2 linked regions of the Bombyx mori genome follow. The protein of the gene in region 1 binds, or shares a complex with, the protein of each later gene. Links are inferred from orthologs where the notes say so. Each region holds a gene or a part of one and is shown on either strand. Other genes may lie near its edges.

The links. The genes of interacting proteins can lie anywhere in the genome.
Region 2: the proteins of negative elongation factor D (region 1) and negative elongation factor A are in contact, whole or in part, in a crystal structure (PDB 5L3X), measured with the Homo sapiens proteins. The link is inferred for Bombyx mori from reciprocal best matches to the Homo sapiens genes NELFCD and NELFA. Residues at the interface, in XP_047296144.1 of Homo sapiens: Cys204, Gln205, Gln206, Leu207, Glu208, Phe210, Ser211, Leu214, Arg215, Leu218, Ala219, Ile221, Leu222, Asp223, Gly225, Glu226, Cys241, His242, Gly243, Glu244, His245, Thr246, Tyr247, Leu248, Phe249, Ala252, Met253, Ser255, Val256, Leu257; in NP_005654.4 of Homo sapiens: Leu23, Trp24, Ala25, Leu54, Leu58, Leu61, His62, Arg65, Pro88, Trp89, Met92, Val93, Ile96, Leu97, Phe100, Gly104, Ser105, Leu106, Leu108, Leu110, Asn116, Val117, Asp119, Ile120, Leu121, Glu123, Leu124, Arg125, Lys127, Val128.

Annotation. Positions count from the first base shown.
Region 1 is NC_085111.1:9,518,815-9,524,396, forward strand, and holds the start of negative elongation factor D, read left to right. Parts: upstream 1-2,212; 5' UTR 2,213-2,834; intron 2,835-2,863; exon of another isoform or gene 2,864-3,126; intron 3,127-3,151; exon of another isoform or gene 3,152-4,168; intron 4,169-4,282; 5' UTR 4,283-4,309; coding exon 4,310-4,372; intron 4,373-4,941; coding exon 4,942-5,167; intron 5,168-5,582. Other genes in the region: survival of motor neuron-related-splicing factor 30, read right to left, coding at 69-110. UniProt on the Homo sapiens protein: Essential component of the NELF complex, a complex that negatively regulates the elongation of transcription by RNA polymerase II.
Region 2 is NC_085132.1:9,764,130-9,769,530, forward strand, and holds the start of negative elongation factor A, read right to left. Parts: upstream 3,683-5,401; 5' UTR 3,676-3,682; coding exon 3,466-3,675; intron 2,129-3,465; coding exon 1,874-2,128; intron 1,217-1,873; coding exon 1,039-1,216; intron 665-1,038; coding exon 512-664; intron 1-511. UniProt on the Homo sapiens protein: Essential component of the NELF complex, a complex that negatively regulates the elongation of transcription by RNA polymerase II.

The sequences.
Region 1 (5,582 bases):
AATACCATCAAGAGTGAGTAAAATATTTGGTAAACAAAAATATTTTGGGTATAATGTATATTACCTACCTGTTGCAATTGTAAGGTATAATTTCGTAGATCTTCGGCCATAGTTATATATTAAATTCAATCAACCAGGCGACAAATGCTTAATTTGCTTGCTTGATAATTTATCGCTTCAACTTTTTACTGCTGTTGCTTCAATGCTTGTCATTGCTTGACATCAGACAAATCTGACAATCAGTGCTCTCAACTTTTTTTTATTTAAGGATTTTTATGACCTGGTAACTAACACTTTTAAGGCATGTCTTATTTTAATTTATAAACTTATTTTTATGAAAAATGTTGGACGTTTAAATTTGAGGGGATTGGGTTCTGTAGGTAATGAGGGGCTATTTAAAAAAACACTGCTTCATTATAATTATATTGCAGATAGTTTGAACACTGTTACACCATTATAAAATTATTATCTTTATATTTTTGTAAAACTCTTACATGTTGCTTTGACCATATCTAGATTAAAAGTACTGACTTTTTCTTACGAGAAGACAATCATCTGTTTATTAAGCATTTAAAATAATTCTAATATTCAAAATCTGTAATCATGTGTCAAGTGTTGCCTGCCATTACATTTATATTCAAACTCCAACTAAATGAGATAAACTTTCATTAAATTAACCTGTGTATAGCATAAATTATGTTTAAATGTTTGACCTAAAGGTCTTTGTTACTAGTTCATAAAATCCCTTAAAAAAATATTTAAATATCATATCTATGGCATAAACTTCTCGGGATCCTCCAAAAAGTCCACTGAAAAAATCTCAGTAAATGACCGCCATTTTACTGAGATCTCATTTCATTTCATGCCATGTTTCATAGATTAATCAACTTCAATTCATTTCATAGTATCATATTTCATAAAATAAAAAATACATATAAAAGATTACGCTGTGTGGTATGATACCTGTGCCTTTCCATTTGGAAAAATAAAACTACTACTAGCCCCGTGAGCTCACCTACTTCACCAGGTTTGAGCCCCGTGAGCTCACCTACTAAAGTTAGGGTTACGCTGACATAGCCAGGTGAATGAAGTTAGCCCCTCAAAAAAATATTTTTTTCCTATTTTATACTTATTTTCTATTAATTCGTTTGTTCATCATTTGTTCATGATTGTTCACTGTTAATAATTGTTTGTTCTGCATTTATTTATTTAAAAAAAAAAATTAAAAATATACCTACAAGTTAGCCCCTCTAATGCAATTTTTAATATTTTTCATCCTTAATGACTCGTAAATATTCATTTTCGATTGTTCTTATATAAAACACGTTTGTTCTCTTTCGAAGTTACTCGTTTTTTGTTTAATTTACTATTTTTATTAGTTGAATAAATGTATGCAAAATATGTGTACTGCGCATGCGTCAACTATAATGGCTAAACTTTCTACGCGGTTTTAGTCGTGAAAAAAAAACAAATATAAATCCTGAAGGAGCAATTAATTGGTATACAATTTAATTTAAAAAATTAAAAATAAAATAAATATAAATATGTAATAGTCGGATTTTTAATTAGACGAAGCCAGCTGACAGTAGCTAATGTCACTTTGTGAAATAATGTTGCTATATTTAAAGTAATAGTGATGCGTTCAGTTCTCGTTCAATCACATAAATGAACAATGAGTGTGAAGAGTTAATCATTAATTTCAAACTATAAAAGAATATTATTTATATTTTACAATAAAATTGTATTAAAGTGATCCAATATAATAATATGTTACTAGTAGTATGTAACTACAATCAGTTTTTTTTATTTTCATTACCTATGTACCTATAATTGTTATATTTTATACATCTATAGTTTCAACTATATGATGCATTGGAAATAGGACAGTCTTACAAGCTTCCTCGCAATGTTTTTCTTAATGTTTAAAACAGTCGGTATTCAGTACAGGTAGATACCATAGGAACATAATGTTTCGTCGAAAACTCGTTGGTATGTACAAAGCACGGCTAAAATTCGAACCCCGTGCCCGATATCGGCAGTTCGGCACACTAACTATTCACTAGACAATCGAGGCAATTTCATTAATTCAGGAGTTTTTTCAATCGTTCACTTTGTCACAACACTATTTTTATTTCATCAAAAACTGACAACACAGTAAACGTCAGTTTACTTCGTCTAATAAAAAATTAGTCGGATTTTTAATTAGACGAAGCCAGCTGACAGTAGCTAATGTCACTTTGTGAAATAATGTTGCTATATTTAAAGTAATAGTGATGCGTTCAGTTCTCGTTCAATCACATAAATGAACAATGAGTGTGAAGAGTTAATCATTAATTTCAAACTATAAAAGAATATTATTTATATTTTACAATAAAATTGTATTAAAGTGATCCAATATAATAATATGTTACTAGTAGTATGTAACTACAATCAGTTTTTTTTATTTTCATTACCTATGTACCTATAATTGTTATATTTTATACATCTATAGTTTCAACTATATGATGCATTGGAAATAGGACAGTCTTACAAGCTTCCTCGCAATGTTTTTCTTAATGTTTAAAACAGTCGGTATTCAGTACAGGTAGATACCATAGGAACATAATGTTTCGTCGAAAACTCGTTGGTATGTACAAAGCACGGCTAAAATTCGAACCCCGTGCCCGATATCGGCAGTTCGGCACACTAACTATTCACTAGACAATCGAGGCAATTTCATTAATTCAGGAGTTTTTTCAATCGTTCACTTTGTCACAACACTATTTTTATTTCATCAAAAACTGACAACACAGTAAACGTCAGTTTACTTCGTCTAATAAAAAATCCGACTATAGGTACAAACTAGACGTGCGCTAATCATGTTCGGAACTGGATTGAACATGACATCGTTCTTTTGAGTGTCGGAACTAGTTCCAGTAAACATGTTCGCGGAACTGTTTAGTTTCACGAACATGTTAAGTCTAGTAGCTGTTTGTAGTTTGTAGCTGTTTAGTTCCGCGGACATATTAAGTCTAGTAGCTGTTTGAAGCTGTTTAGTTCCGCGGACATGTTAAGTCTAGTAGCTGTTTGTAGTGTAGCGAATCACGTATTAAGTTATTATTAATTACACAATATTTTTCAAAAAAGGTATTAAAAATACAATTTTTTAAAAGCACTATATAAAAATAGATTGCCGCTTATGGCAATTATTATTGTAATTATTATTTTGTAAGGTTTTTAGTTTTAGGTTCATTGTTACAGCTGGTTGCATAATTTATTAATGTACTGTAATTACTTTGTCATAATTTCAACTACTCTACTACTTTCATTATTTTTCAATGTAGGTATTGTACGATGCACCGGAAACTATAACCTATCAGTTGTTAATTAAAATACCACGTTATTCTGATATACAACGTAAATTAAGCTCGTTGTAGCCTTACAACCTTTTTCCCATAACCGAGATACCGAATAGCGAAAGTGGTGAATGTTTTAAAATTCTCGAATTTTGAATTATGATTTTCTAAGAAATGGTCCACAAACACTTAAGGTTAAGTGCTCGTAGGAATGATGCATGGTCAAGGTCAAAATCCATAGCAAAACATTTTAATTTATTCAACTATCGACTGTAACACGTAGGTCGTAGAGCATAACTTCAATATTAATAAAAATGTAATATGAAAGAGCTCCACACGCAGTTTCATGCACTCGCTCCATCTCACTCTCTCGTATTCGTGCCATATGTCGCCTTATCTCTTTACGTGGACTCGTGTCGTTTCGAGACTCGTTCGGGTGGACTCGCCGCGCCACGCCTCCGCGCCGCGCGGTACCTATGCTCTAATCATGTCCGCATGTCCGTCATGTTCAACGCGTTCGTAGTTCCTGCATAACAGTACACTTGGAATGGAAATGGAACTGTCTGAACATGTTAATTTTGACAACTCGGATTGAATGATATAGTTCCATATGAGGACATAGTTCCAGGAACTATTTAGGTCCGGAACTACGCATGTCTAGTACAAACCTTATTAACTCCATGGTACAAACCAATTCATTTTTCATAATAGTAAAAATTAAAATGTTGTTTAGTTTGAAAAAAAAGGTTTTTTTCATATTTAATGAATATTAGTTGTTTTAACTTTGATAATCAAGGGCCTCAGCATCATAAATTTGTTGTTTGTTTAAAGCTGTACGTGTACCTTTTCCGATTAATCTTTATTTCCGTGTAAACACGAATAAAAACACATAGTTATAAGCAGTAGCAATTGTTTTGATCAAATCTAATAAATATTATATTTTATAGAAGTTGAGTGCAACTTAATATACAACCATGCCTAGTCAGTATGAGGAAGAACGTGTATGGGATGGTCAGAATCATAATAATCAATATGAAGTAAGTTAATAATTTAATTGGTGCTAATAGGTATTTTTTTTAATATAGTGACTTATTACAATTTTAAAGTAAATACATTTTATGAATATAAACTGATTTTAAAAACTCATCATTTGTTTAATAAATCTGATGCTGAACAATATTTATATTATTCCATAAAAAACAAATTCTGTTAATTAAAACTTAGAAAAAAACAAGATTTATGTTTTGTTTCCCTGACTACCTAATTCTCTTACATCTATATATCCATTATCTGTTTTAAAAGTAGCATTTTATCTTTTTACTAATTTAAATGAATATTTATATTATTTTACCAATCCTTGTCATACCATTGAAGAGTGGTTAATATGATTAAAATAAAAGTTACAACCTGAACAAATGTAATTAATCCTTAGCCAAACAGAGTAACATTAAGAACACAAACTGAAACCTTAACACGAACTGAGAACAGGCAATTCATAATTTCATTGATGTTATTAATCAAAATAAGTACTTACAAATAATTACTCCAACGCATTTTGTTGTGATATGTAGTTTGATTTATTAAACTGGTAAATAACATTTATTAGGAAGAAGGAAATGAAGATGTTATTGAGAACCCTGAAGAGGTATTAAATGAATGTCTGGAAAAATTTAAAACTCCAGACTACATTATGGAACCTGGTATTTTTGGTCAGCTTAAAAGATACTTCCAAGCTGGTGGAAATCCAGAGCAAGTTATTGAACAACTGTCAATGAATTACAATGCTGTAGCTCAGATGGCCAACTTATTAGCTGAATGGCTTATCCTTGGAGGTAATTATTATATTTGATATAGGAAATAATGTTTATTTCTTCCATTTTACCGAATTATTTAGTTAGTTGTTACCATTCTACAGTACAGTAAAAGCTCTTTATTTGCAGGTATATTTTACATAAATATGGAGCAAATACAGATACAGTGAATAGGGAATGGTAGATTATATGGGAGTATAGGGGATATGTTATATATGGTTATGGATACACAGTATTCATGTGGGAACCCACATTATGGTGTATATTAACTGCTTAACTTCAGATAAGAGCTGTTCTGTCTGAATTAGTAAAAAAAAATTAGGATACACTGAGTGAGCTACAAGTATAACTTTGAGCGAGTAAGCCAGAATTGTACATTTTGAGTGAGAAAACCAGATGTGTACATTATGCCCGCTTACCTCGACTTTCTTCTCTG
Region 2 (5,401 bases), on another chromosome or scaffold:
CTCTTAGTGGCGTAATATTATATTTAAGTAGTACATAATTTCCTCATTAGCTTCCGGATGGTTTTTATCAAATCTGTGAATCCAAAGAGCCATTGATCTCAAATCTCTTCTTTCCCTTGTCAACTCCCCTTTCGTTTATATTCTTAGTTCATTCATTAACCATAATGGTATTAAGCTGTAGTTTGTCTGTCTTTTAACCAACTAACCATTATATATATTGTTATATTGTGTGCGTCTTATTTATTTTAGGTAGGTACACAACAGCGATTCTGTCATCAAACATTAGCTAAGCATTAGCATCTTAGCTTCAAATATTAGCATCTTAGCTACTCACTTAATTCTTAGTTACAATCTGTGACTTTGTTCGTTCACGAAGCCCGCTTTAAAAAACATAGTATTATAATAATATACACTTGACATTAGTGAAATCTAAAAGGAAACGCCATTAAGCCAAGAGATAGATAGAATCGAAAGAGCAGCGAGACGGTTTGTGATATGACCGATATGTTACCGAGTTTTCTTCGTTTCTTGATCTGCGCATGCGTGGCAGGCTGGTCGGCGATGTCGAGGAGTTTGATGCCGGGACGCTGCGAGCGCCAGCCCGTGCCGCCCGCGCGCATGGCCGCACGACCCGCGCCCAACGACGGCAAACCCTTCAGGGGAGCTGGACACACACGGCATACATTTGTTTTTTTAAAGGGATTCAATGACCTGGTAACTAAGACCTTTAGGTCAAGTCTTATTTAAATTTTAATGAAAACTTTTTTTTATATGAAAAATGATATTATGAAATGAAATGATATGGGATGAAAGATAATCTCAGTAAATTGGTGGTCATTTACTGAGACTTTTTCAGTGGACTTTTTGGAGGATCCCGAGAAGTTACGTTCAGCGGCTTTGTTTGATTTTCCCACATTTATGCACTTTTACAGAACTTTACAAGACAGCTTATACCAGCAAGAAAACTACAATTGTTGTAAGCTTTTAATGTTTACAATTGAATCTTAAAGTTGCTACTTTATTAATAACAAGACTTACTAGTATCTGTCATTTTCCGAGGCATTCCTCTGCTACGTATTGGTACGGTAGGAGCTTGAGCTTTCTTCTGATTTGCCTGAACCTCTGTAGCTTTGGCAAGGAGCTCGCTTCTGAGCGATGCCGATTTAGGTTTCCGTTTCAGTGTAAAATGTTTTATCGGATTTGTTTGTTGGCCAACCTGTAAGCATTCATAGAAGGGTGCCAGCTCCAACTTAAAAAGTTCTTTGGAAAGGACATATATTTTTTTAAATCAATTTTATTGCAATATTTTCGTTTAACTTGGAATATATGATTGCTATGACCCAATAATAGACAGAAAAGTATTTAAAGTCACAATACAATGTTATTTCTTCATGGTAGAAATTATTGATAAAAACAACAGCATAAAAAAAATTCATTCTAGCTTTATAGAATGAATTTTTGAATTATCATATATTTCATATGATTTAATTACTTAAATAGGTAATTTTAATTGACACAAATATGTAATTACATATAATAATAACTAGCTGACCCGGCAGACTTCGTAGTGCCTCAATCGATAAATAAAGGACCTAAATTTTTTGTATAAAATAAACTTTACACAAACAAAAGGAATCCTTCCGACTGGGGACCCATCAAAGGAAAAGCAAAATTGTTATTTTTATTTAATTCCGAGCATTTTCATATCTAGCTACCTTTTAAACCTTCTCTGGACTTCCACAAATAATTCAAGACCAAATTTAGCTAAATCGGTCAAGCCGTTCTCGAGTTTTAGCGAAACCAACGAACGGCAACTCATTTTTATATATATAGATAATAAAATAATGGAAAAAAATAACACAATAAAACTTACCACAGATACTAAAGCATTCTTATTTAAATACAGGCACTCCAGCGGTAATAATCCTAGATCCGAATGTTTGGCTAAAGCTCTCCTTAACTCTCCAATCATATCACTAAATATTGGTCTTGTCTCATCAAACTCTGCTATCTCTGTATTAAGGGTGCCAGCTGAGGGGTACGTTTTGAGGACTTCAGCAAGCATCGCCACCCAGAGGTCTGAATCCATTGCAGCAACTTCAAGGATCTCCTCGAGTTCACTTTTCCACTGGTATTAGAATACAGTTTTAAGATGATATTCTGGTGTTTTGAAGCAAGCGAGAAACAGGAATATGATTTGAAAACTACATGTAGTTTTGCAGAAAAGACTCAGTTGGCTCAAACAAACATTAAGCCATTTAAATTCTTTCTAGCAATTTTGTGGCAATGATTCAATTCCCAGCAAATAAAAGTAACTGTTCTCTCTTTCTGCTAAAGTAGATGTACCTACTTTAATAACCATTAACTTGATATAAATCAAACATACCAAATTTTTTACTGAGCCAAAACTCTTAATATTTCTTTTAAAGCTGTTTTCAGATATAATGTAATATTTCCATTAATAGCTTATTAGCTATGCTTATTATAGCTACAATATGTTGTATTCAGCATAGTGTAGCATATAATAAGTTGAAAATTAAGAAACTTTAACTTCCACAGCATTTTACTAAGTGACTAATATAATTTCAGCAAACAGTATTAGAGGAATTATTTCAAATTATATCTGAATTTTAAACACGTTTTTGTGTTTACGTTGTTACAGTTAAGCTCTAACTGTACAATTTATGGAGCCTGGCCACCTTTTAACAATAACCAGCATCTTGCTTGACTCATCTTAAAGCACAAAGTAGATTGTAATAAATTGTAATAGATTTTCTAGTATCCTTTTTCCTTAACAGAATATGACTATAGCTCATGTCATTTTATTTGCTACTCAGCCTTTTTAAAAACACTACCATTAATATTTTAAGAATTAAATAGAACCAACAGAAGCATTAAATTGTAAGAATGATATTACAAACTGTTGCATTTGTTTTAATTTGCTCAATTCAATACTTAAAAACACTATTTACTAATGATTTTAGTAAAAAATTTGCAAATTATATCAGGAACACATATTGCATTAATGTAGTCTGGGTATTTAGTGTTCAATATTTTTATGTCACTGCAATTTAAAAAAATGACATGGCATATCACTAAGAACGTGTTATTTATCATGTTGAATTTTATAGTGTAACATAGCTTGAATATTTTGCAACAAACATGATTTTTATGTGTTTAATTTCGAATGTCACATTTAACATATTTTTGTAACTTTTATAAATGAATATAGAAAACTACCCAGTGATTAAATAGTCATACGGAAATAAATTTGTTCATTTTAATTTAAACAATACCCTTTCAAAAATATTTTTCAGTAAAATCCAACATGTAAATTCATTACGACAACAAATAAATACTTGACATTTAGGCATCTCACTCGCACGTATCACTTTTCAGGGTGACAGAAAGTGACACGACACTAAACAGTTACGCAAATCCGAACATCAAATTGAAAAGTTATACCTCTTCAACATTTCTGCGCGGGATATGAAAGAAACTTAGTAATAATTTCAATTTCACTTGCGGTTGTAATTCTGGAAAACAGTCTTTTATATTCTTTAATACTTCAGCGTTTAATTGTGAACAAATCGAGCCACTTGTCCAAGAATCGTTCGATGTACCGAGTTTATTGTGGAGCCACAAAGATATGTCACTATCCCGCACGTTCGCCATCTTGTAACTGAGATAGTGACGTGTTGTGGATGTTCCAGCTGCAACTATAGAAAATCGATTTCATTTTTATAAAAATCGATTTTACCAATTGATTGTCGTCCAGCAAACCAAACATATCGAAACATATTGAAATTAGGCCAAAATAGTTTAGAAGTTAAGCTAAGCTTAAATTTGACGTGCTTTACCCGGAATAGGAACACGCTGCTGCAAAATAGGCTAAGCGGTGGTTTTTACCGGTAGTACGCTGTACCACCAATAAAATAGCCTACTTACTAAATTTACTTCTTCGTAAATCTATCTTAATTTAATTTCAATAAACTTAATCCCATCTTCATTTTCGTATTTTCCTTTCCATTTTAATTTTAATTTAGAAGATTGGACTATATCAGTAAAGTCTGTCCTACGCAATTTGACAATTGAAATAAAAAAATCGATTGGATACGAAAATCGTTATTAAATGAAACATTATAAAGCGGGGTTTTTAGGTTGGAATGCGAGAACTTTAGATCTTTATGTACCTACATTGTTTTAATTAGTCTTTAAGCTTATTTGTGTATTAGGGGTGGGTTATGAACTGTTTCTTCTTCTTCTTCGACTTTTAAGATGTCATTGTAACTAATGCCGAGTTTATAAAAATCTTCAATTATTAAACGCATATTCTGTAGCATGTTAAAGGATAGAGCGAAATAAGATAAAATTAAATAAGACTGGTATCAATCGGGATGACATGTAATGAAACGAGATGAGACACGATGAAATAAAGGCTCAGTAAAATGTTGGTTATTTACTAAAACTTCAGTGGACTTTTTGGAAAAACCCGACTAGCCATGTCCAGCAGCTTTGTTTCATTTTCTCACATTAAACATAAAATAAATAAAAAATAATTAATTCACACAACCTCACTCCTCGCGTTCCCGTTAACTGTTAAACATTACGAAATTGTACAATTATAGGGGGATTTGACGAAATCGATGTCTTCTGAGATTCTTAAAAACAGTTGAAATATTTCTAATTTAATTCGTCTCTAATTTAGTGAGCGCGTAAAGATATTCACTACTTTATATACTTCATTCCTTTTAAATTTCAAAATTCAAAACGAATGTATGGATCAAAATTTATGTCATAACTTTTTGGCGGGATCACGATGTCTATTGCACTCACTGAAGTAGTACTTTAAAGGTCTATGATTGCACTGAAGTATGAAGCCTATGGAAATGAAACGTCAACAAAAAAAGTGTGTGTGTCCGCTCCGACGCACGACTGGAGTTTACTGGATATAAAAAATTAAACGAAACAATACGAGAAATAGTTCTATATTACGACAACACGATACACTACAGATTATTAACAAATTAACGAGACACAAAACAAACGACTAACAAATATATGAAAATACAATAATGAGAGAAACGCGCGATCAGTACGAGGCTTTGTGGCGGACTGCCGGCGCAGCAGCCCGGCGTCACCTGCGATAACGCATTTCGTGTGACATGCGCAATCAGGCGCATAACGCATTTCGTGTGACATGCTAGTACGATTTTGGTCCCCATAATTTTCATACCCCGGGCCTATATATGTAAATCGATTCTAAAGGAGTAAACTCCAAAAATGCGTGCCCATTGCGTGACACTGTGACGTCATCTGGCCGCTAAGCATGGCGGTTTTAGTGCTGTTCAGAAGATTTTAATGCTATTAGGTTTTATCGATAAACGTTCTTGGCTCATTT